4 linked regions of the Arabidopsis thaliana genome follow. The protein of the gene in region 1 interacts with the protein of each later gene in a pairwise test. Each region holds a gene or a part of one and is shown in the gene's direction. Other genes may lie near its edges. The genes, in order: ARGOS, PIN5, AT1G66760 and AT3G52640.

Region 1 (4,300 bases):
AAGCTTGATAAAATGAAAAGGTTTAACCCATAAAAGTAAGTATACCTATTCTTGTCTTTGTCACTAAGACATACAAACTTATGATACTCTGAACCTAATCATACTCCTAAATTTTGGAAACCAAATTATGAACACTTTTCAATTAACTTGTTTCATGATAACATCACTCACGAAAACGACCATTAATCCTATTAGACCAACCACAATAAGAGATGCTTGTCGGGGAAAGAATTTCAAATAATTTGGGTTAAATTTCCACAATAACAAAATAATTTGTATCAAAGGGGATTAAAAAAAACAAAAAAAAAAACAACAAACAAAATAATTTGTAATCTTTTTTTTTAAGCAAACAAAAAAGGGGATTAAAGAGTCGTACGAGGAATATTAATTAGGCAAGTTGGTTTGGTCGAGACTCGAGAGATCATGCATTGAATCAAAGGCAAAGAGCCACGTGACGTTTACATGTGGTTCGATCCTCAGTGTCTCATCGATCGCCTTTCTCCTTACAAATCAACCAAATTATACTGTAGTAATCTTTTTCTCAAATTATACTGTAGTAATCTTTTTCTCAAATTATACTTAGTATAATAATGGAATAATATTTCACAAGATAATAATCGAATAATATTATCAAATCTAAAAAAGCTGACCAAAACAAAAATCTTTAAAATTCGCGAACGTTATGAAACTGAGCATATGGACCTTGTTATTGAGATTATTGTAATGCATCAAGTGTCTAAGAATTAGACCAAAACATATGTCTATGCATATTGACTGTCGAAAATCAATTAAATTAGAAGTAGGGTATATAAAACAAGAAGAAGCAATATTTAAACATGACTGACTTATTAGTAAGACAGAGGGAATAATATTATGATAATACTTTTTTTTCTTGAACTTTTTGATACAGGTCCACTGGACACCAATCTAAATGTGTGCGGTGTTCAAGGCAATAATCATGCATGGGTTGCCATATATACACACCTACATCTTAACTTTCCACCATTATTTACTCATCTAGTCTTCAATAAACAAATTCCATTACTAATTAAAAACGTACAAATAGAGATGTTTAATCGTAATACTGTATATCTATCCAAGAACAAACACACAAGTGAACTGAATTTTAAACTGATTAATTCTTTTGTTTCCAAAGAACTTAAAAGGAAGTACTTTTATTTAAATAAAAAATAAATCTTAAACCGCACCAAATAAGTTTTGGTTACTAGTGTATACATTCAGTGAACATTTTTATGAACCCATATTTTAGTAAAAGTATTCTCTTGATTGTAGAGACAAACACTAAACACAAATAAATTGATTTTTTTAGTTGAGCTTATGCTGAGAAGATCCATTTGACAATTTTCTTTCCTTTTTTTGGTCAACGATTCAAGGAGATCCATTTTCTCATCCCTAAATATACGATTTTCGTATCTGTAGAGTAGGAGTAGAAACTAGCGGATCTTTCGATATAAACATTCTAAATTATTAATTTAGGGTTTGTCATCCATGCAAAAAACTTTGTTGGTACACGTCAAATAGTTTAATATCTGAAGCTGCAGTCTTCGTATATTGTTAATTTGGCCTAATTAAAGTAATGCTGCACAATTAATGTGGATAACTAGTGTTGTAGTATTGGTAATCTATCAATTCTCCCAAACTACTCATCGGCTTTTTTGTATCTAAAGGCCAGGAAAAAAACTAATAAAACCACTTGACGTTGTTTCTAAAGGAAATGGCCTATATGTTTCTCAATTCATTGAACCATGAATTATATTTATGGGATTAACTATATTTATATATTAAAAGTAACAAGTGATTTCCGACTGAGTTACTAGCGAAGTCTATTTGCTTTAATTCATCATTCTGTGAGAATTCATCCTCTGGCGATATAAACATCTTGGCTTTATTAAAAACCATCCTCTCATCAAGACTTCACATGCAAAGCGTGTTGTCACGTTACTATGTCCGATCTCCATATACACGTAAATATATAAAAATAGCATCGTGAATTAATTTGAAAAACATTCCTAGCTATTTAACTTGGCTTTATATATAGAAATATGAGAGCATATACATATATTGGCCCAACATTTCCTGGTAGAACAAGCGCATTCACCATATGAAGTGCTTCGAGAAGAACAACACTATGGGTCCTTATTTATCCATAAACATCGACAAAATTATTGGTAGGTACGTTAATAAAAATAATTTCCTCATCGCATCAAATATTTGATTATAAAATTTTAAAAATCAACCTGTATATTAATAACTGGATGATTCAAAATAAACTAGAAAATTATTTTCTTAAAAATTTATAGAATGGTAAAAAGATGGTTTTAAAACTCATTTATTTAAATACTACTTACATATTCAGATCAGAGGAGATTGTAGCTTACGTCATATGTTATATAAGTAAAAGAAATGGTAGAAAAAGTAAGAGAAAAGAAGACCAGGGGAGAAGAACCTTGTGATTGTGGAGGAAGACTAGGCCACACGAAATTCAAATCTTTCAAATTCAGCAACTTGCTTCTCCTCACATTTGTCAGCCCCTTTATATAATAAACGTTCCTCTTTTTCGTCTTTTCAACATATCAGAAAATCCCTAAATTCACTGAACCCTCTTCTCTCTCTTTCTCCCCCCATATCTTCTGATTCTCCTCCAACTCCTTTATTAATAAATTCTCCTCTTTCATTGCTACTTGTCTTCCTCATTTCCCTACTAGTACTTGTTTCACACAGTTTCTTGATCCAACCAAAACCAATACACAAAGCTTCTCAAACTCCTTCACCTCAAAGCTTCTTCCTTTACATCTGAATCGTTGAGTTAACTCGGATTTGTTCTGCATCCTCTGTTTCTGAATCGTGGGCCATCCTTATTTTGTCTCGAATTCTTCACCAATTGCTTCGATCAAGCTGCATTGGTTAACCAGTTGCCCTAAAGATCAGATCTTTGAGCAAAATTTTGTCACTGATCTTCTAAATCCAAACCAGACACAGCAAAACAACCTCTGTAGATGATTCGAGAAATCTCAAACTTACAAAAAGATATTATAAACATTCAAGACAGTTATTCGAACAACCGAGTCATGGACGTCGGAAGAAACAACCGGAAAAACATGAGCTTTCGAAGTTCGCCGGAGAAAAGCAAGCAAGAGTTACGGCGGAGTTTCTCGGCGCAGAAAAGGATGATGATCCCGGCGAATTATTTCAGTTTAGAGTCTCTGTTCCTATTGGTTGGTCTAACGGCATCTCTGTTAATACTTCCGTTAGTTTTGCCGCCGTTACCTCCGCCTCCGTTTATGCTGCTATTGGTTCCCATTGGGATTATGGTTTTACTCGTCGTTCTTGCCTTCATGCCTTCTTCTCATTCTAATGCTAATACAGATGTAACTTGCAATTTCATGTAAATCTGAAATTTATTATATGATGATCTTAATTAATCTTAGGGTTCTTAATCCAATGAAATTGATATACAATATAAATGTAAGTTATAAATATTACATTAAATTATCATAATATATATATGTGAGAATACTTCAACGCACAATAAGAGAAATGGAGGAGAAGAGACTGACATAATATAGAAGCATCATAAGAAGAAATTATACAAAAAAAAAAAAAAAACCTCACTTCGTCATCTCAAACCCAAATCCCAATATCCGTTAATTTAAATCGTAGTATTTATTTGCTTATTTTCAACTATTCGTAGAAATTAGAAAACCAGTGAAGCCCAAAAGCAGAATCCATTTGTTTCAATCGAAAATGGCGGTAAGGTGATGCTCCAAAACCGCCATAAGGTTACGAGTCTGGCTTACTTCCACAACTGCAACAGCACAGCCTTGAAGCTGTCTCACTGCTTCTACAAGCTGTCCTCTTAGCCTCTGAGACAGTAACCGACCGTCCGCTTTCATGCACTCTCTGTACAGCGGCATGTACGCTATTGCTACTCTTAGCGGTGCAGGAAGGTCTCTTAAGGATATCGCTGACTCCCCTTTTTTCAAAACTCTCATGAAATTCATGAAATCGTCATGGCTTTCTCTCATTCCTTTCTCAAAAGCTGACTCCGACCAGTGTTCTTGGAGAAACGATTTTAGATCTGAAGGAACGGATTCGTCTTCTGATGACCTTGCGATGCTGTCTGCCACTGAGTATGTAGCCGTGGAATCTCCTAAGAAGTCTGATTTGAGAAGAAACTCTACTCCTTGGAGAGACCCTCCGCTTCTTTCTCCTGCTGCTTTGAGGATTTCGATGCTGAGAGCGGTTAAGACAGGTGGTGGAACACGAGGGAGGAGATAAG
Region 2 (5,532 bases), on another chromosome or scaffold:
AAAGTAAATCATTCTCCATTCTCCATGGTTGAAAACTTGTTCTTGCGTCTTCTCTTCTCTGGAAAAACGAATGTTTCCAGAATAAAAACACGAGATGTGAAGCAGAAGAGTACAACAAGTAGGTGCTGTAGCATATATTGAGTGACGAAGCAATGAAGGAACAGATTATTGTGAGCCACAAAATAAATTAAGAAATAATACAGTAGTGAAGTCGTTTCAAACAGAGGATTTATTCCACCTGCACTTGGAGGAGTTTCCTCTTTTCATAAGTCTAAAGAACAAATTTGCCTTTAAGAATAATTCTTCTGTGTTTTTTTTTAATATGGAATTTGAATGAAAGATTAGTGTGTGGATATGGATAATTAATTATATTTAAAAAATTATGTAATATTGATATGTTTGTAGTTTGGTTTCCCTTTCTATTGGCTGCTATTTACTTCATTCTTTCAATGATTGACGTTGAACTTCTTTTCGACCAAAATCAAAACATCCTCTCCTTTATGTATAACTTTGTTTCTTCTGATTTGATTTGTAACATTAACATGATTACATTTATATATAGTATATAATACGTAACCATGCATTTAACTTGGTACTTGGATTCGTTTATGAAAGATTGAAAGGAAAACGAAAGTTATATGATCACTACTCTTGAATTCGAACTCTAATTTAGGAAGAACAGTATAAACCCCAACATATAGTGTTTTCTGGTCTGAAAAACTTTGATTGTTTTGTTTTTGTGGTTTGGGAAAAAACATCAACATAATATTCATGACGTCAAAAGTACAAAACAAATAAGATGGATTTTGAATAAACTTTCCAATCGTGCTAGCTAGCTATTTCTGACATAATTCAAGAAGAATAATGAAAATATGTCACACAAAAACAAAAGTATTAACGATGAATGAATGAATGAGAGAAGACAAAAACCTTTTTGATATTAAAAAGACTGTAATATATATCAACACATCAGGAGAGAAATTTGAAAGCATATTATAGATTTGTAATCATCAAGTGATAAATAGAACTTATTCTACTAGCATTATTATTCATATTTATATATGATCCCTCAATTTCACCAGTGAATAAGCATCCTCCACGTTTTCACAGATTTCTAATCCACCGATTTTAACTTTTGTTCCATCAGTCAAATCCCCCTTTTTGTTTTTGTTTTAGTCCGACTATATATATTTGTTTGCTTATGTTTTTCTATTTGTTCCAAATCTTTGGTAAAGATAGGTGTTTCCATAAAATGTTATTATCAAATCAAATGATAAATAAATGCTTTCCAGATCATTTTATGCCTCTGCATGATTCTCTAGTAATTAGATCAAATCAATTTTCTCATCATGAATATGTGTAATAGAAAAGACTTTGTGAATGGACAATATATATGGTTACAAAACAAAAATATACCATAGAATTAAAAAGTGCTAATATGATGATATTGCACCTAGCAATATGTGTTGTTGTGATTATATTAGAGTCCAGAAGGCAAATAATAAATTTGTTGTCTAGCAAGAAAGGACAAGAGCACGAGGTACAAATTTTTCTGTAAACTTTTGTAGTTCTTGAATGGCTTCCTCAATCCTCACGATGATAGATTTTTCGCTAGCTCGTAGTATAATATGGTTCTTTGATATTTTAACAAAGAAGAAAGACATGGCCATATGATTTTTTATCGAACGAAACATAAAAAACAACGTAAAACATGGTTTAAGATAAAAGTAAGTAAGTTATTTGTAGACTTCTCTATCTATCTATATATTAACATATTCTAAAACCCATGACATGTTATTTCTTAAACCATGAATATATTGAAACATTCAAATCATCACTAGGTATAAGTAAGTGAAATTCATTTTCTTATAAGAAATCTCTCTTTGTCGGTTATGAAATTGGTTGCTATCGCCAGGTCGTAGGGCACAAATACCCATTTCGGCATATATACAAACTATTCCATGCACTTTACTTATATTACATGCACTAGCATAGTTCTGCTCCCATTTTATGAAAGTGGTTAATAAATATAAATATTAAGATTAAGAAAAAAACGATTAAGCAAATATTTCGAATAAATTATTGAAAATATATTATTTGGTTAGTCTCATGTGTTGTGGCGACGAGTTACGACAGCCAAAAACATATATTGGTCGAGACGATCTTCTAGTTATGGTGCTAAAGCTGCAACCTCATTCTTTATTCTGCGACATTACCATTAATTAATATAGTCAAATATTGAAAGAAATGTTTACGTCATACACAAACACTACACTCACTATTTACAGGAAACAATTGGAATAGAATCATATGCCACGGCACGGTCTGGTCAATTATATTGATAACGATAACTCTCTTGTTTCTCAATTAAACTAATGGCTAAAAATATGAGGTTGATTTTAATTTTTTTATCTAAATATTTAGACTCAAATTTCAATTGTATCTATTCTATAGGAATTTAGCCAAATTATTTATAAATATTCGTAATCATATTCCGAAGAAAAAAATATTATTGTTTAATTTATATCTAAACTTTACTTTTGTTTGAATATTACTCATGGATATCTCATTACCTATCTTTTTTCTACAACAAATAAAACAATTAAAAATTTATCTATAAATATGAACATGTTGGTTTCTCTATCGTAACACATTTACTATCTACGAACGAATTTAGAAGCTTTGTTTTCTTTCCTTTCGTTTGCTACTACTGCAACATTTCTATTTTTCTGATAAAACCATGATAAATTGTGGAGATGTTTACAAGGTAATCGAAGCAATGGTTCCACTCTATGTAGCCTTAATCTTAGGCTATGGCTCTGTGAAATGGTGGCACATCTTCACGCGTGATCAATGTGATGCTATAAACCGTCTCGTTTGCTATTTCACCCTGCCGCTCTTCACCATTGAGTTCACGGCCCATGTCGACCCGTTCAACATGAATTACCGGTTCATCGCGGCCGATGTCCTCTCTAAGGTCATCATAGTCACGGTCTTAGCGTTGTGGGCCAAATATAGCAACAAAGGAAGCTATTGTTGGTCCATTACTAGTTTCTCTCTATGCACTCTTACTAACTCTCTTGTCGTTGGTGTGCCATTGGCTAAGGCAATGTACGGACAACAGGCTGTTGATCTGGTGGTTCAATCCTCGGTATTTCAAGCCATCGTGTGGCTCACACTCTTGTTGTTTGTCTTAGAGTTTAGAAAAGCCGGATTTAGTAGTAATAATATCAGCGACGTACAAGTAGACAACATCAATATCGAAAGTGGAAAAAGAGAAACTGTGGTTGTGGGAGAGAAGTCGTTCCTTGAGGTCATGTCCCTCGTTTGGTTGAAGCTTGCAACGAATCCAAATTGCTATTCTTGCATCCTTGGGATCGCATGGGCTTTTATTTCTAACAGGTAAAAATGAATCTTTAATTAAACTTTATATTGGTACCTATAAGATGTTTAACAAAGTGTTAATTAGTATGTGTGATCAGGGACTCAGGAGACTACATTAATTCCACCCCTTACTCCGAGGCAACCGTTAAAATTGCCTAAAAATATCTATAGTTTGACGTTTAAACCATCTAAATTATTACTTTTCTGTGTAGCGCCTGATGATCTATAGTTAAAATTTTGACAGAAATATAGGTCACGATTGTTTCTTTGCATTTGCGTTTATATTTCCATGTGACAAATGACTAGGACATTTTTAACATGGTAACATAATTTGCAAACGTGACATGTACATGCAAATAAACTAATCATGATTTTAATCTGAATATTAGAGTCTTTGACCAAATTTCTATTTTATTTGTTTTAGTGTGAATTTTGGGTTTAGGGTTTTGATTAGTGTTTTGTATACTCTTGGCTAACAAATAAAGACTTAAGTCTAATAATTGATGGAAATTAATTGGAAATATAGATGGCATCTGGAGCTGCCGGGCATATTAGAGGGTTCGATTCTTATAATGTCAAAAGCAGGAACAGGAACGGCCATGTTCAATATGGGTACGTTTATTTATGTCCATGCAAGTATCTTTCTATACGTAAAGATTACGTATCAGTATTGAGATAACAGTGAATACATGCATATATACGCAGGAATATTCATGGCACTTCAAGAAAAGTTGATAGTATGTGGAACAAGCTTGACTGTGATGGGAATGGTATTGAAGTTTATTGCCGGACCGGCGGCCATGGCCATCGGCTCTATTGTCCTTGGCCTCCACGGTGATGTCCTCCGCGTAGCCATCATTCAGGTCATAAATTCTACTTTATCCTTTTGTACCCTAATTCTACTGAAGTTTGTATATAAAAAAAAAAGTAGATCATTTTCCATTCATTCATCCACTAAGATACTAACTTTATATTTTTCAGTTTAATATATCATTAATATTTATATGAAATTTACAGGCTGCTTTGCCACAATCGATTACTTCGTTCATTTTTGCTAAGGAATATGGATTACATGCAGATGTTCTAAGCACAGCGTAAGTCCAAATTTTAAAAATTCAGTCTATTTAAGAAGAAAATGGTAATATGAAATTAAATTAAAATTTTGATAAATGTAGGGTGATATTTGGGATGTTGGTCTCTCTACCTGTGCTCGTCGCCTACTACGCAGCTCTGGAGTTTATTCATTGATTAAACTAATAAATTCGATTATATCATCAATATTACCCTTTGTTCATCTTTCACAAGTTTTTTTTTTTGTTATCTCTTTTACACTTTCCTCCTAAAGGAGATTTTGAAGTATATTCGAGATATGAAAACCATTAACTGAATGAATTAACCTAGTTTATGCTTAATTTTATACTTTCTTAAGCTCTCTTTATTTTCGTAGTATGCATAATTTAGTATTTTGTTCACATATACGTATCAAGAAAAGATAAAAACTCTATAAATGAAAATACATCATGTTCGGATCTAAAATTGTTTTAATACGTACACTAAATATTATAAGCCCTTTTTTTGTTAACAAAAAAAAAAAAAGAATAAATGAAACGAAATTCAGGTTAGAGATCAAATAAAATCTTGTTATTATTTGATTCATGATCATACATACTAACCAAATCAGGATTTATGAAATAAATTATTCTTTCTCCTCAACCGAATCAATATGAAGATAAAAGGGGTAATTTAGTCTTTTCGAATTCGTTTTTCTTACCGAATCTCTTTAGTTTTTTTTCTTTCTTTTGTGTGGAGGAGAGAAGAGAACGCAACACTTTCTTCCCAATCTCTCTCTGCTTTCTCTCTCTAGACGTGATCTCTAATTCTCTAATGTCTTCCTGCATTGCCATTTCCTCTAACCCCTCCACAATCGGAGGAAGACGATTCCTGGGAGCAAGAGAAACGATGGGACTTCCCATCGGAAAATCTCTTAGAGTGAGAGAATTATGGTGTGTTCTTAATGCTTAATAATCACCGACACAGCCATTGTTCTTCATCATCTCCATGGATTTTGATTCCATTTCTCGGGAAAGCACTTTTCTTTCCCCATTGCTTAACCAAAGTACCATCCTTTATTCCCTCTCTGATGTTCTG
Region 3 (5,553 bases), on another chromosome or scaffold:
GTTTTAGTGTTAAAATTTTATTTCAAAATAAGTATTGTTATTATTTTTAGTGTAGATATTTGGTAAATATTCAATTTTAATGTATTGACCAATTATAAAAAATTGTATAATATATTAATAAGCGATAGACAAAAAAATCTAATTGTTTTTTTACTATATGTGAAGAACCTGTAAATGACATTTATACTAAAACGTAAAAAGTATGTATGATATATTGAATCAAAAATAATACTAGTAATCAGTAGTTAAGTTACATCTATTTTGTTAACGAAATAGTAAAAAAAAATGTCATTAAGAGACGGATTTATTATTGATATCAAGTAGAGCAAAATTTGTTTGTTTAGAAACACAAACAAAATCTTAACTTTGGCGGTTTAGTCTGACTAATTTCAAATTTATGTTGTGGAGTATATAAAGTCGATAGTACTTTTTAACAATGATTTTGAAAACTAAAACTTTATGTTATTGGAGTATTATCATGGATTGGAGTTTTTGTCAATGAATTAACATGGAGATGTGGATTAGGTTAGGTTCATCGAGATATGTATTTAAAGTTGAAACATGTGTTTTATTATTATTCTTTTCATTTATTTATTTTTTTCTTTCTGTCGGTCAGTATTGAAACATGTGTTTAGTTTCATTTGTCCTCTCAGGCCTCAGCATGTCTAGTCTAGGAGTATTCTTTATGTTTCAAAATATAAGAGGTTTTAGTTAAATATGCAGATTAAGAAATATCCATTTTTAAAAAAATTCAACCATTCATAAAAATATCATATAATATAAATAATTATAAAATATTAAATTAATCTATAGTTATGTTACACAATTTACATAAATCACGCTGTCATGAGTAGTCTTTTTCATATATCATCTATTGACAAAATAACAATTTATCTTGTTGTTCTTTTGAAAACTAGCTATTACTACATATATTATACATTTTTTTTCTCATAAGTGGTTTAACGCTGACAAAAAAAATCTATTGTAAGATGGTAACCACTGAAAGCCATCTTAGGTTCAATACTTAAATAAATGATATGATATTAAAAATATTGATCATGGACCGATGTTTATCGATTTGAGCCAATGCAATCAATACGAAGAGAGACTTTTATTCCTTATTCTTTAGAAATGTATATCTCATTTTATGACTAATTAAATAATAACTGATGATCAGTATGTGGTTCTATACATTTAAAAATCTTCTAATTCAGTTTTTTTTTTTTTTTTGGTATCGATGTTAAGTATTTATACCGTTTTCAAGTTTGAGACAGAATACAGAGTAAACAATAGAAGCAAAAAAAAAAAAAAAAAAAAAAAAAGGGAGAAAGACTACGACTAAAGGAACTACGAATACAAGAGATAACACGATAAGAAACACAAAGCGAAGCAACTAGTAAAGGCTTGAAGAGGAAACACCGATTCTAATTCAGTTTTCATATCTGTTTGATACTCTTAAGGTATTATATTGTTCTGTGTTCCAGTTCTATCTCATGCTAATCAAAAATATTGTTAATACCACTCTTGCCTTTTTCAAGAACCGACATGATTTTTAAGTTTTAACCACAAATGTATTTGATTGGTAAAAGGTTCTAAAAAGTTTCAACAACTCACAAAGCCTTAAAACTGAACCATTCATGTTTTACTTTTCTTTTTAAGGCTATACAACCAAAACAAACTTTATGTTGTCTAATTAATTTCTCTGGCATAAAAAAAAAAAAAGACTCCACAACTAAAATCTTTTAAGTACAAACTACAAATAGGAACCAATTATTAGTTACTAGTTAGGATGCATCTTCTTCTTACACGTGCTGAATTCTATCTTTTGACTTAAATGAGTGAGATGATAAAAGTCGAAAACGATTTCGCTTTTATACGCGGAAGCGGAAACGTGTTTATTTTCTTTTCTTCGAGTCGCGACGTCGCATATATTATTTATCAAAATACAAATTTTATTATATCAAAATCATAAAGCTAAATAAATACGACACAACTTCCAACATTTTCTCTAACCAGAAAGAAAAAAAAAATGAAGAAGAGTATCGAAACTCCGTTATTGTTGAACACCAAACAATCACAAGACGAAGATAAAGAAAAAATAAGATGGGAGAAGATGAAGAAAGTTGCTTCAATGGCTGCTCCAATGGTCGCCGTGAACATGTCTCAATACCTTCTTCAAGCAACTTCTACAATGATCGTCGGTCACCGGAGCGAACTCGCTCTCGCCGGAATCGCTCTAGGAAGCTCCTTTGCTAATGTTACCGGCTTTGGTGTTCTTGTAAGCAAGTATATGAACCTTTATATATATATATGTATTGGATTAATTTGTTTCTAATTATTGTTGTATACTATATAGTTTGGACTTTCAGGTTCATTGGAAACACTATGTGGTCAAGCATATGGAGCAAAACAATATCACAAGCTTGGATCTTACACTTTCACTTCAATAGTTTTCCTTTTGATTATCTCTGTTCCGATTTCGATTCTTTGGATGTTCATGAACCAGATCTTGCTGTTGCTTCATCAAGATCCTCAAATAGCAGAGTTAGCTGGTGTGTACTGTCTCTGGCTGGTACCAGCTTTATTCGGTTACTCTGTTCTCGAGTCGTTGGTTCGATATTTTCAGTCACAAAGCTTGATTTATCCAATGGTCTTGAGCTCTCTAGCTGCTCTGTCTTTCCATGTTCCTCTCTGTTGGCTAATGGTTCATAAATTTGATTTTGGAGCCAAAGGAGCGGCTGCGTCTATCGGTATCTCTTACTGGCTCAACGCGGTTTTTCTTTGGGTTTATATGAAACGCTCTAGTCGTTGTGTCGAAACGCGGATTTATATGTCCAAGGATGTTTTTGTTCATACAAATATCTTCTTTCAATTTGCCATTCCTTCTGCAATGATGTGTTGGTAAGTATGTACAACTTTATTAAAAATCCATATAGAATTAACCAAGTGATGGTAGTCTAGTGGTGGTCATTGTTTTGTGGATAGGTGAAAGATTTAAAATCTTAGGTTACATAAATAAATGTGTAATGGATTTTTTTTCCCTTCACTAATATTCTATTGACACTTATTTTCTTATTGCTCTTGCTTCCTTCAATAGCCTTGAGTGGTTAGCTTTCGAGGTCATTACTTTGCTGTCTGGTCTTCTACCCAACTCAAAGCTCGAAACATCGGTTATTTCGATTTGGTAATGTATCGAACCGCAAAACTATATAATCTGTGATACTTATATTTTCTTTCATTTTCTAAGCCTTAATTTTTGGGATTGAGCAGCCTCACGACCTCTTCATTGCATTACAATCTAGTAAATGGAATTGGTGATGCAGCAAGGTTTGTTCTTACTTTAATACTCTTACATCGAATTTTCACTTCATTTTATTTTCGAAGAATTAATGTTTCATTTTTTTTTGTTTCGTTGGTTAGCACCAATGTGGCTAATGAGCTAGGAGCTGGGAATCCGCGAGGGGCTCGTGATTCTGCTGCGGCTGCAATCATAATTGCAGCTGTTGAGTCAGTTATTGTGAGCTCTAGTCTGTTCTTGTCTCGCAGTGTGTGGCCTTATGCATATAGCAATGTGGAGGAAGTAATTAGTTATGTGACTGATATCACTCCTATTCTTTGTATCTCAATCCTCATGGACAGCTTCTTGACCGTCCTCTCCGGTTAGCCTTTCTTAACACGCATCTCCGGTTTTGCAACCATGTTATTATTTTTTTGTGAACGTGAACCGAATATATGTTTTGTTTTGTTTAGGGATTGTGAGAGGAACAGGGTGGCAAAAAATTGGAGCTTATGTGAACATAACCTCTTATTATGTCATTGGTATTCCTGTTGGACTTCTATTGTGTTTTCATCTTCACTTCAATGGGAAAGGACTTTGGGCTGGTTTAGTCACAGGATCAACATTACAAACTCTAATCCTATTTCTTGTTATTGGATTTACCAATTGGAGCAAAGAGGTGATTGTAACCGCGTAACTCGCTTTTTTCTGTTTCTAATCCATCATTCGATTTTTCGAGAAATCGAGCTAATATTTGTTTACACATTTTTTCTTCAATGAAATTTTGCAGGCAATTAAGGCTAGGGAGAGAATTGGTGATGAGAAAGTTTGGAGACATGACTCATTGCTTAATTGAAGAAAAAAAGAAATACAAACTTTTGGGGGATTTTGATTGCTTCTTTTTTTGTGTGTGTTTGTGCAATAACCTTCAGTTGATTGTAATTTATATTGAAAGTACATTATAGTCTTTCATATGATATTAGAGTGTAAGAAAGTTTGAAAATATATCTCAGTTAAAAAATGATCTGGTATATAATAGATGAATTAAAGAGTGACCAAAGTTGATTGGTTCAAGCTTAAAACTTCTATACTATAAAGTCTATAATACAACTTTACGTGGCCAAAAAACAAATAATGAACCAAAGAGAGAGTATCTTGAAAGGATATACTCAAAGAATTAAAGAAGTCAAAAAGCAAATTTGAATACTTTCTCCGACAAGAGATGCTCATAAGAGTCAAGGTGAGTAGGTAATTGTTATGGCAGAAAACACGTGGAAGCAACGACACGTCATACATAATATTGAAGATTAACAAAAAGTTAAATTAAATCAACATCAATCCAAGAAACAAAAATGTATGGACTTGCAAAATCAGTTATACAATGAGGTGAATCCAGCCTCGCAGAAGTCCATGTTCAAGTCCAGTTTTGCACCAATATAGTATATTGGTTTCATGGACGTAAGAGTCTTGTCAAATGAATCCAGCCGCGCATCAGTCCATGTTCAAGTCCAGTTTTGCACCAGTAAATTGGTTTCACGAACGTGAGAGTCTTGTTAAATGAATCTAGCCTCGCTTCAGTCCATGTTCAAGTTCAGTTTTGCATCAAGATATTGATTTCATGAACGTAAGAGTCTTGTCATGGAACTCCTAACAATAAATAGATTGACCCATATCATTTTTATATTACGTTCTCGGTTACATCACACTTTTAATGTTGGATTCCTGATACGCCTGCTCAAGAGGAGGGGTTTTCAATTATATTTCAATTGAACCTCATTCTAAAACTAGCAATAAACCCAACTTGGTATTGAAACTTAAATTTTGGGATGTTACGTTGGACATTTTTCCGAAAACTAATTTTCGGCAAATTTGTCACTCGAAACTACATTGAGAACGTTGGATTCATCTAATCTACAAGCACTATCTTTGTAGTTTGTAGATTGTAGTGTATACTCAAACGTAAAATTTGAGGTTTGTTTCTGAGTGAGAAATGGATATCCAAAGTTGGGTATATGAAATACACAAAATGGATAAAGTGGTTTTTGTACATATTGGAAGTTGGAGAAAAAAATCTGCTAGTATATAAGGTGAAGGTTTCATGTCCAAGGCTTGTGGCCTTCTTTATTTTTTTTTTGCTTTTTCTTTTTTCAAAAGGCTTGTGGCCTTGTGTCACCATATTTGTGTAAGTAGGGGAAGGAGCTAATTCTCTTGATGCTTGGACGGGTGGGTTAGGTTGGGTCATTAGATGGGCTTGGGACTAAATTTTCTTTACTTAG
Region 4 (8,541 bases), 2.6 Mb from region 1:
GAAAAGAAACAATAAGAGGCCAATAGAAAAGAAGAATAAGAAGTTCGAATTGACGCTTTGCCATAATGCGGCTAAAAAGGTGACAAACAAATAGACAAAGAGAGAAGAGGGCGATGAAATGCTCAACAGGTGAAACAAAAAAAGATAAGAAACGAAATGACCCCTGAGAGCGGATAAAAACCATGATATCATAGGCCTTGGTTAGATGCAAAGAAGGTTAAAATATTCATGGCAACAAGAAAGATAAGAAGGGCTAAAGTCAAAATAGTATCTTTGCTTAGAAAACTCCAGCTCCATGTTAGAATCTCCCACAACAGACATTGTTCAGAATTTGCAAGTGATATTTTTTATGCTGCCAATCTAACCTGTTAAGAGAATCCTCAGCTTATAACTACAATTCTATTTGATTATTTCACACAAATTGACCACAATGATAGATACAACCAAGAACAACCCAATACACATACAAAGCTATAACTCAGAGAAATGTCAATCAAAGGCGTGTTTAAGCTAACTTAGCAATCATTGGAACAAAAATGAGAGAAAGATTCAGTTTTTAATTAAGATAAGAAGAGTTACACAAATCCCAATTTTGGATCCCCAACCAAAAAAAAAGATTCACGAAAGGAAACGAAGAGAGGCGCAATGAGATGAAAGAAGAAAGAGCGAGAAAGTACCTGAGAGAGCTGCCGGAAGAAAACCCTAATTTTGAGAATTACGGAGAGGATGAAGAAGTGTCTATCTTCGCGCACCTCAGGTGTTGAAAAATATGTATATGTGTATGTTGTATTGATATGACCTAAAAGATGCCTAAGCGAGACTATCAAGGAGGTGTAGTCACTTTTTATTATGATGCGACCAATCTTATATTACGGCTTATTACCGATCTTAATATACGACAAATTTGATTTTTATGCAAAAAAAACTTTCAAGTTGGATGAGAATTTGCGCCTTATATTTTTTTTACACATTGTTTTCAAAATTAACACTAGTTTTTTCTTAATTAACATGCAGTTTATACATGATCTACGTTATTTGTTAAAATCACATATGGAATAATTTCTTTAAAATTATAGTTTTACCATATACAATATGTTTTTTTTTTTATCAATTTTTAGCCAAAACTTGCCTATATAATCTAGCAAATAATACCCTAATCAATCATAATTAGTCTACGATTTTGTAAAAATGAAGCCATAAAATGTAATACAAATTTCTTACAAAAAAAAAAAGAAAATGTGGAATGAAAATATTTTTTCTTTTTGTATAAACAACTAGATTATAACCCGCGGTACACCGCGGAGACAATTATTTTTTAAAATTAGTATATATAAAAGTCTGTAAATTATATTTATCTATAAAATATTTATATTTTATAGTTTACAATTGTTATTAAGTAACATCCTTCCAAACCCGTTCTGCCAAACCCGTCCCGTTAAAAAAATTTGTAGTACACCGCTAATTTAAAAAAAAAAATTACGGGATTGCAATTATATTTTAGTTTGTCAAACAAATTTTTGTTTTAAATAGTTGTCGAAATCTAATTCAAATTTTGGAGAAATAAGATTTAGTGAACTGATAAGAAATGTATTTATGTGCGTTTTGCTCATTTTAAGGGATTGCAATTGTATTTTGGTTTGTCAAATATTTTTTGTTTTAAATAATTTCCGAAATCTAGTTCAAATTTTGGAGAAATCTGCGTGATATATGGGATTGGAATATATTTGGAATATTTTTTGTTTGTTAATCAATTTATTGCTAAAAGAAAATAAATAAATAAAAGCCAGTGGCAGCCATTGTAAATAAGTTCCAAATCTAGGATTTATTTTACAAAATGGCTGCAAAAATATATATATAGATAGGTTCACTTAATTACTTTTAATATAATAAAATCCGCACAAAATGTGAATACCTCAATTTTTCTATATCTTGGGAATTTTGAAAGACATAAGAATCAACACGAAAAATCTCAGTCTTTGACTCAGACTCCCACCGCGTAATTCCGAGCTAGGTTTCCATTTCTCCGGCGAATCGGACCTCTCTCTCGCTCTCTCTTCCAATTTCCCCTTTTTTCGTTTCCCAGGTACTGCTTCTTCCGATTCTAACATTTTTTGATCTTTTATAAAATCGGTCACATTATTCTTGATCGTATCTGCAGCGATGATTTGCAAGTAGCTTCCGCTAATAATCGCAACTCTCTGACGGATGCTATGGCAATGGGACTTATTCGTCTTCTTTCTATAGCTTTTACACTTGTTCTACTTTCAATCCTTCCTCTTCATCTCTCTCTCGCTGGTGAGTTTCCTTTCCCCGGATAAAATTGGTGATGAAATGTATTAGTTGATAGAACATTGTAATCTGAAATTGAGGTTTCGTTTTGTGTAGATGAGATAACATCTATTGAATCTGTACCTGACCTTCAGAAGCTAATGTATGTTGCTGTTGATGGGTTTCCTTGTGTACGTCTTCTCAATCTGTCTGGAGAGATTGGATGTTCAAGTAAGCTTCTTTTGGGCCTCTCAGCTACATGATTTTTATCTGTTGATGAGGTCCTCTAAGTTTTATGTTTATAAAAATACTCAGATCCTGGAATAAATAAAGTGGTGGCTCCAATCATAAAATTAAAGGACGTTAAAGATTTGGTTCAGCCACACACTATTTTGGTTACAGCTGATGAAATGGAAGATTTCTTTACCAGGCATGTCTCCTTTTTCATTTACAAAACTTTCATGACCTCTATTCGATTTTGTTAGTGATCTCTTAATTTGTGGAGTAGTGCTTTCCCACTCGCTTGTAGTTCTCATTTTGGTGTTTTATTTAACGTCAAACAAGATTTAGCTTTTGGGTGCCAAATCAGCCTTTTTGGAAAGGCAATTACATCCTTAAGAATAACGTATATCTAAGAGTTTGTTTTCATTAGTACTTGAGTATTTAAGGCAAACACTTTTAGTAATCTTCCATGACAGTGAAACAACAGATTGGAATGAGTATACCCTCTTATCACCATTTTTGAAATCTGCTAGAAATGTAGTCACTTGGTTGTTGGTGCATGGATTAGGTGTTTAGTGGAACCAGTAATTCATTGGCTTTTTCCGCTTTATTTTCATTCGACTAACGGAAAGTAGGTATACCTCCAAACACTTTACTGTAGAACCCTGCAGTCTGGCTTACTTCTGGCATTGTTCATTAGACTTGTACATCGCTTAGACACTCTATTCAGTAGAAATAACAGGACCACTCCTCTTTGTGCCTTTTCCAGGGTGTCAACTGATTTGAGCTTTGCTAGCAAAATTGGTGGTGTTCTAGTTGAATCAGGATCTAATTTCCAACAAAAGTTAAAAGGTACTATGTCCATCCACATATTTATGATTCTGTCAACTTGAATGGCTAATTCCTTAAATTGTCTTGAGTTCTTAATTCCCTTAAAAATAGTACTTGATACTTCTTATCTATGTTGATGGCGTTAGTGTTTCTTTCTTCTTTATTGTAGGGTTTTCTCCTGATAAAAGGTTTCCTCAAGCCCAGTTTTCACCCTATGAAAACGTTGAGTACAAATGGAATTCAGCTGTACGGTAGCGTAAACTCTGTCTGGATCTTTGAAATTACTTCTTCCTGTCAACTCTTTTATAGTGGGTTGGAAATTGTTTCAATCAGTTATCACCAAATCCATAGTCAAGCATTTCCGAGTTATATGCTGTTTTCTTCTGGAACTAAACTTAACTACCTGCTAACACACAAATACCATAAATCCTTTTCTTATGGTATAATTTTACTGGAGGAATGCATGTATCTGCCTAGATGATCACTTATAAAGAAGTTCAAAAATCTGTTGCATATTTATCTACCTTAATTAAAAGATAGTTCCTCTTATTGTTATCTACGGAGAAAAAATGATTTTGATTCTTATGAGTAGTTGCAGGCGATAAGTCTCTAGCCATTGACCATTGCTAAAAAATGATTATTTGCAGGCATCAAGCATCATGTGGAGAAATTATAATTTTCCTGTGTACTTATTGTCAGAAAGTGGCATATCAGCTGTGCATGAGGTAATCCTTCAAACTTGCATTCTTTTGCAAATTTTAAATGTGTCTATTTGTGTTGTCAGAAAAGCGAAATTGATGACATTTTTAGAAATATGAGGAAATGAACTCAAGGCTTAGAGAGGCATTATGACTGTTGGTCACTCTTAAGAGCAGTATTGCTTGATGAAAATATGGCTGTAAAATGATGCATGAGATATGTATCTCCAAGGTCATATGAAATGAATACTCCTAGTTTAAACTGAATTAGTCTGCAGAAATTTTTCTAAGCATTGATTACCCATTTTAAATAAGAATACAAATTTGGTCCTGGAATGTTTGTCTCATCCAGCTGAAGGCAACTCCCAGCTGCATCTGTAGATTTCAAATGCATGTTGCTTTCCATAGCCTGTAATTGGACTCAACCATAGCCTTTCCATTTGTCTTGTGGTAGTTGCCTTTAAACTGCTGGTCAACTATGTCATTCTATAGTATGTTGTTGTCCTTACCAGATGAGGTTCTGTCAAGAAGCTAGCTTTATGTTTCTGTTGTGTTGGTAGCAATCTAAAGTGTATAGTTTATGTGGATAGCTTCACTTTTTTCAGGTTATCGACTACATATTTACATCCTATTATATTTGCGCAGATCCTTTCCAAGAAAAAGATGAAGCATGGAACATATACCAGTGATGTTGCTGAATTCAATATGGTTATGGAGGTATATGGCTTTAGCAATCTTGCTCACTGGAACGTTAACCAGCTTTATGGATCTTCACTTTGACTTAGATTATGACACCCAATTCTCTATTTTTTGTATTAGACTACCAAAGCTGGAACACACAATTCGGAGGCTTGTTTGCAGGAGGGAACTTGCCTCCCATTGGGCGGATATAGGTAAAGATTTAGGTCTTTATTACTGTCTGATCTAATGACATATGAAAACCTTTTAAAGGATACGTTTCGTTTTCTAACAACTTTGTTATGAAGGACAGTGTTTGGTCCTCGCTTCCACCAATCAGTGTTTCGTCTTCCAACAATCGCAAACCAGTTGTGCTGACTGTGGCCTCCATGGATACTGCATCATTTTTCCGTGACAAAAGTTTTGGTGCAGATTCACCAATATCTGTGAGAACTTGCTATTTTCTGCTTTTGGGTTGATCTAGAATACATTTATTTACTCTTCTTATTCTTCTTTTCCCGATTTATTGCTCAACACGTTCTCCTTCTTTCAGGGTCTGGTAGCTCTTCTAGGAGCAGTTGATGCTCTTTCTCGAGTTGATGGTATTAGTAATCTCAAAAAACAGGTGCCAGTGTACCATGTGATTTAGTGTTATTTCACGCTTTTTGTTGTTTGCAAGCTTTAATACATGTAAATCGTAAATGAATGCAGCTTGTGTTTTTGGTTCTGACCGGAGAGACATGGGGTTACCTTGGCAGCAGGAGGTTCTTACACGAATTAGATCTGCATTCAGATGCTGTCGCAGGCCTTAGCAATACTTCGATTGAAACGGTAATCATTATTGTTTTGGTCTGACAAAGTTGATAGAGACAGCTAGCCTTATGCATGAAATCCCTGTGGAAAAAGTTGCCTGTGTTTCATCGTTGCTGCAACTTATTTGTTTCTTAGTAGCGCAGAAAGCAAGTTTAAGTGTTCCTTGTGAAATTGAATGTTCACAATTTTCTAAATCTAAAGATCGAATTCAGATTGCTTCTTCTATTATCTAACAGGTGCTTGAAATAGGATCTGTTGGAAAAGGTTTAAGTGGAGGGATAAACACCTTCTTTGCTCATAAAACAAGGGTGAGAAATTCCTGATATCCTGAAACTCTTGCATAATTCGAATTCGTTCGATAATGTGAAAACTGTCATAGGCGACTTAACCTCCACTTTTGGTGTTCTGCTTTAGGTTTCTTCAGTTACAAACATGACACTGGATGCTTTAAAGATAGCTCAGGATTCACTTGCATCAAAAAACATCAAAATTCTTTCAGCAGATACTGCAAACCCTGGAATACCCCCATCCTCCTTGATGGCTTTCATGAGAAAGGTACAATATATATTCCAAGTAAATAGATGGGAAGACAATTCAAATGTGTATTCGCACTATACTCTTTGCATATACTTCACCTTCAGTTGATCATGAATATGACAGGAGAAGTATACTTGCTTACTATTATGTGATTCTGAACCAGATTGCCTAGAGTGAAAAAGGTATAACATCATATTCATTGTTGCAGAACCCTCAGACTTCAGCTGTTGTACTTGAAGACTTTGATACCAACTTTGTGAATAAGTTCTACCATAGTCACCTCGATGACTTGTGTAAGAAGAGTCACAGCCTGTCTTTCTCTTCTTTTCGCTCCAAACCCCATTTTGCACTTTTGATTCCTTTCTGGTGTTGTATTGCAGCAAATATCAACTCCTCGTCTGTAGTAGCTGCTGCTTCTGTTGTGGCCCGAACACTTTACATCCTAGCAAGTGACAACAAAGATACAAGCAATTCAGCTCTGGGATCCATCCATGTCAATGCTTCTTTCGTTGAAGAGCTTCTAACCTGTCTTTTAGCTTGTGAACCGGGCTTATCTTGCAACTTGGTAAAAGACTATATTTCACCGACAAACACTTGTCCAGGCAACTATGCTGGCGTCATCCTCGGAGAACCTTCCTCCAAACCTTACCTTGGTTACGTCGGTGATGTTTCTAGATTCCTATGGAACTTTCTGGCAGATAAAACATCTGTCCAAAAGGGAAATACAACCTCAGTTTGTTCAAAAGGAGTCTGTAGCAAAACTGACGAAGTGTGCATCAAAGCAGAGAGCAACAAGGAAGGAACATGTGTTGTCTCCACAACCAGGTAAACTCTGTGCTTGGAAATTGCAATTTGGTTTGCATGCTCAAGTTCTCTCTTATGTCTCAAAATGAACCAAAATCTTAAGTCTGGTAGGCATTTTATAGGAATTATTAATTAGGATAGGCTTCAGAAGTGGAGTGTTTTTAGACTTGGGAGAAAGTCTATCTTTAGTTTGTTGACCTTTGAATTGAAGCTATCATCATTTTCTTCTTCCCCTGACCTGATATGTTGTATGTGACCTAACCAATTTGCTGTCTGAGCATAACACATTAAGTTCTGGTTTTGGCAGGTATGTTCCAGCTTATTCAACTCGATTGAAGTATAACGATGGAGCTTGGACAATTCTACCACAGAACTCATCAGATTCTATGGGGATGGTTGATCCAGTGTGGACCGAAAGCAACTGGGACACTTTAAGGGTGCATGTGTACACAGTCCAGCACTCAGCATACGACAATGCAGTCCTCGTTGCAGGTATTACAGTCACAACGTTGGCTTACATCGGAATTTTGGCTGCTAAGTCAATCATCACAAAAGCCTTGAAGCAGGACTGAGACTTGTATTTAATTCCCTCTCCTCTCGGCTCAAAATTACTTGTCAGTTTCCGTAAGACATTGCCTAACCAGCAACACCACCAATACCTTAGTGGTAGAAACCTTTTTTCTCAACCAAGGTTATTAAAATATGTCTTTGAGCTAATTCATGTTAAATTCTTTATTACACTGGCAAGAAATTTATAAGAAAAAAGTTTGCTTTCACAAAATCCTATAGATAAAGCAACAATACAATTCTAAATCCAGAGCAAAATCTTAGCTGCCAAGAAGAAAATAGTGTTTTGTTTTGTGTTTTGGTACCTCAATTAACAAAACAGCAATTTAAGCTTAGTTGTGATAGATTAAGAAGTTGTTACATATACTAAGTAAATAAAATCATAGAACCAGAAAGTGGTGAGACATCAAATACATATAAAGCATAAGCATCTCTACAAAATGTTTTAATGGAATCGCTTCCATGATCATAATCATCATCACAACATTAGATGAACAAGTGCTTGAACTCCCCATTTGCTAGCTTACATAGCTCGTTGTAGTTCTGTGTATCTGCAACCAAAAATAACAACCAAAACATCAAAACACAACTCAATAGCAAATCTGATAAACTCGACACAGTAATGGAATCACTAAATTACCAAAAGTGTTGCCAAAATTGGTCCAAGTTTCAGCTCGAATAGCGTTATCACTCTCTGCAATTCCAATAACCTCAAGGTAAGTAGTAAGAGGAGAAGGAGGAGACGATCCTCTAACAACGATCTGAAGATCATCAGTAGATTTGCCAACCACAGATCCAATCTCTGAACCAGTCACTTGAATCACAGTTCTGACTTTTTGGCCAATGAATCTCCTCAACAAAGCTCCGTTCACAAAAGCTGAAGGACTTGAAGTATCCATTGCTATCTACTGTTCAAAGATTCAAAAGCGAATTGGTAAATCAGTTTCGTATTCAATAGCAAAGATAAAGGGATTAAAAATTTTGAAAACCAGGAAATCGATTTTGAGAAATTCAATCGAAGGGAAGAGAATTGATTAAGAAGATTTACCTTGTTGGAGAAGATGAATCGTTCGTCGGAGTTGCAAATGATTAGCCCTAACTTCTGAGGACTTTCTAGGCTTTG

What was found.
Region 2: the proteins of ARGOS (region 1) and PIN5 interact in a protein complementation assay, tested with the Arabidopsis thaliana proteins (one large-scale study listed by BioGRID).
Region 3: the proteins of ARGOS (region 1) and AT1G66760 interact in a protein complementation assay, tested with the Arabidopsis thaliana proteins (one large-scale study listed by BioGRID).
Region 4: the proteins of ARGOS (region 1) and AT3G52640 interact in a protein complementation assay, tested with the Arabidopsis thaliana proteins (one large-scale study listed by BioGRID).

Annotation. Positions count from the first base shown.
Region 1 is NC_003074.8:22,127,024-22,131,323, forward strand, and holds ARGOS (auxin-regulated gene involved in organ size), read left to right. Parts: upstream 1-2,481; 5' UTR 2,482-3,017; coding exon 3,018-3,410; 3' UTR 3,411-3,449; downstream 3,450-4,300. Other genes in the region: AT3G59910 (Ankyrin repeat family protein), read right to left, coding at 3,756-4,300. UniProt on the Arabidopsis thaliana protein: Promotes cell proliferation-dependent organ growth. Takes part in the AXR1-dependent auxin signaling pathway that requires ANT during organogenesis.
Region 2 is NC_003076.8:5,397,995-5,403,526, forward strand, and holds PIN5 (Auxin efflux carrier family protein), read left to right. Parts: upstream 1-2,645; 5' UTR 2,646-2,740; coding exon 2,741-3,402; intron 3,403-3,910; coding exon 3,911-3,996; intron 3,997-4,089; coding exon 4,090-4,247; intron 4,248-4,401; coding exon 4,402-4,478; coding exon of another isoform or gene 4,479-4,482; exon of another isoform or gene 4,483-4,559; coding exon 4,560-4,632; 3' UTR 4,633-4,851; downstream 4,852-5,532. Other genes in the region: ZFN3 (zinc finger nuclease 3), read left to right, coding at 5,443-5,500. UniProt on the Arabidopsis thaliana protein: Auxin transporter regulating intracellular auxin homeostasis and metabolism. Mediates the auxin transport from the cytosol into the lumen of the endoplasmic reticulum. May also act as an auxin efflux carrier when located to the cell membrane.
Region 3 is NC_003070.9:24,900,081-24,905,633, forward strand, and holds AT1G66760 (MATE efflux family protein), read left to right. Parts: upstream 1-1,801; 5' UTR 1,802-2,029; coding exon 2,030-2,278; exon of another isoform or gene 2,279-2,356; coding exon 2,357-2,901; intron 2,902-3,097; coding exon 3,098-3,184; intron 3,185-3,270; coding exon 3,271-3,327; intron 3,328-3,420; coding exon 3,421-3,659; coding exon of another isoform or gene 3,660-3,664; exon of another isoform or gene 3,665-3,750; coding exon 3,751-3,956; coding exon of another isoform or gene 3,957-3,974; exon of another isoform or gene 3,975-4,067; coding exon 4,068-4,133; 3' UTR 4,134-4,363; downstream 4,364-5,553.
Region 4 is NC_003074.8:19,513,960-19,522,500, reverse strand, and holds AT3G52640 (Zn-dependent exopeptidases superfamily protein), read left to right. Parts: upstream 1-1,956; 5' UTR 1,957-2,083; intron 2,084-2,158; 5' UTR 2,159-2,210; coding exon 2,211-2,295; intron 2,296-2,385; coding exon 2,386-2,499; intron 2,500-2,583; coding exon 2,584-2,698; intron 2,699-3,259; coding exon 3,260-3,342; intron 3,343-3,490; coding exon 3,491-3,567; intron 3,568-3,968; coding exon 3,969-4,046; intron 4,047-4,664; coding exon 4,665-4,736; intron 4,737-4,838; coding exon 4,839-4,912; intron 4,913-5,010; coding exon 5,011-5,143; intron 5,144-5,250; coding exon 5,251-5,322; intron 5,323-5,408; coding exon 5,409-5,528; intron 5,529-5,746; coding exon 5,747-5,818; intron 5,819-5,924; coding exon 5,925-6,065; intron 6,066-6,255; coding exon 6,256-6,872; coding exon of another isoform or gene 6,873-6,876; exon of another isoform or gene 6,877-7,158; coding exon 7,159-7,423; 3' UTR 7,424-7,628; downstream 7,629-8,541. Other genes in the region: AT3G52630 (Nucleic acid-binding, OB-fold-like protein), read right to left, coding at 7,905-7,969, 8,059-8,317. UniProt on the Arabidopsis thaliana protein: Probable subunit of the gamma-secretase complex, an endoprotease complex that catalyzes the intramembrane cleavage of integral membrane proteins such as Notch.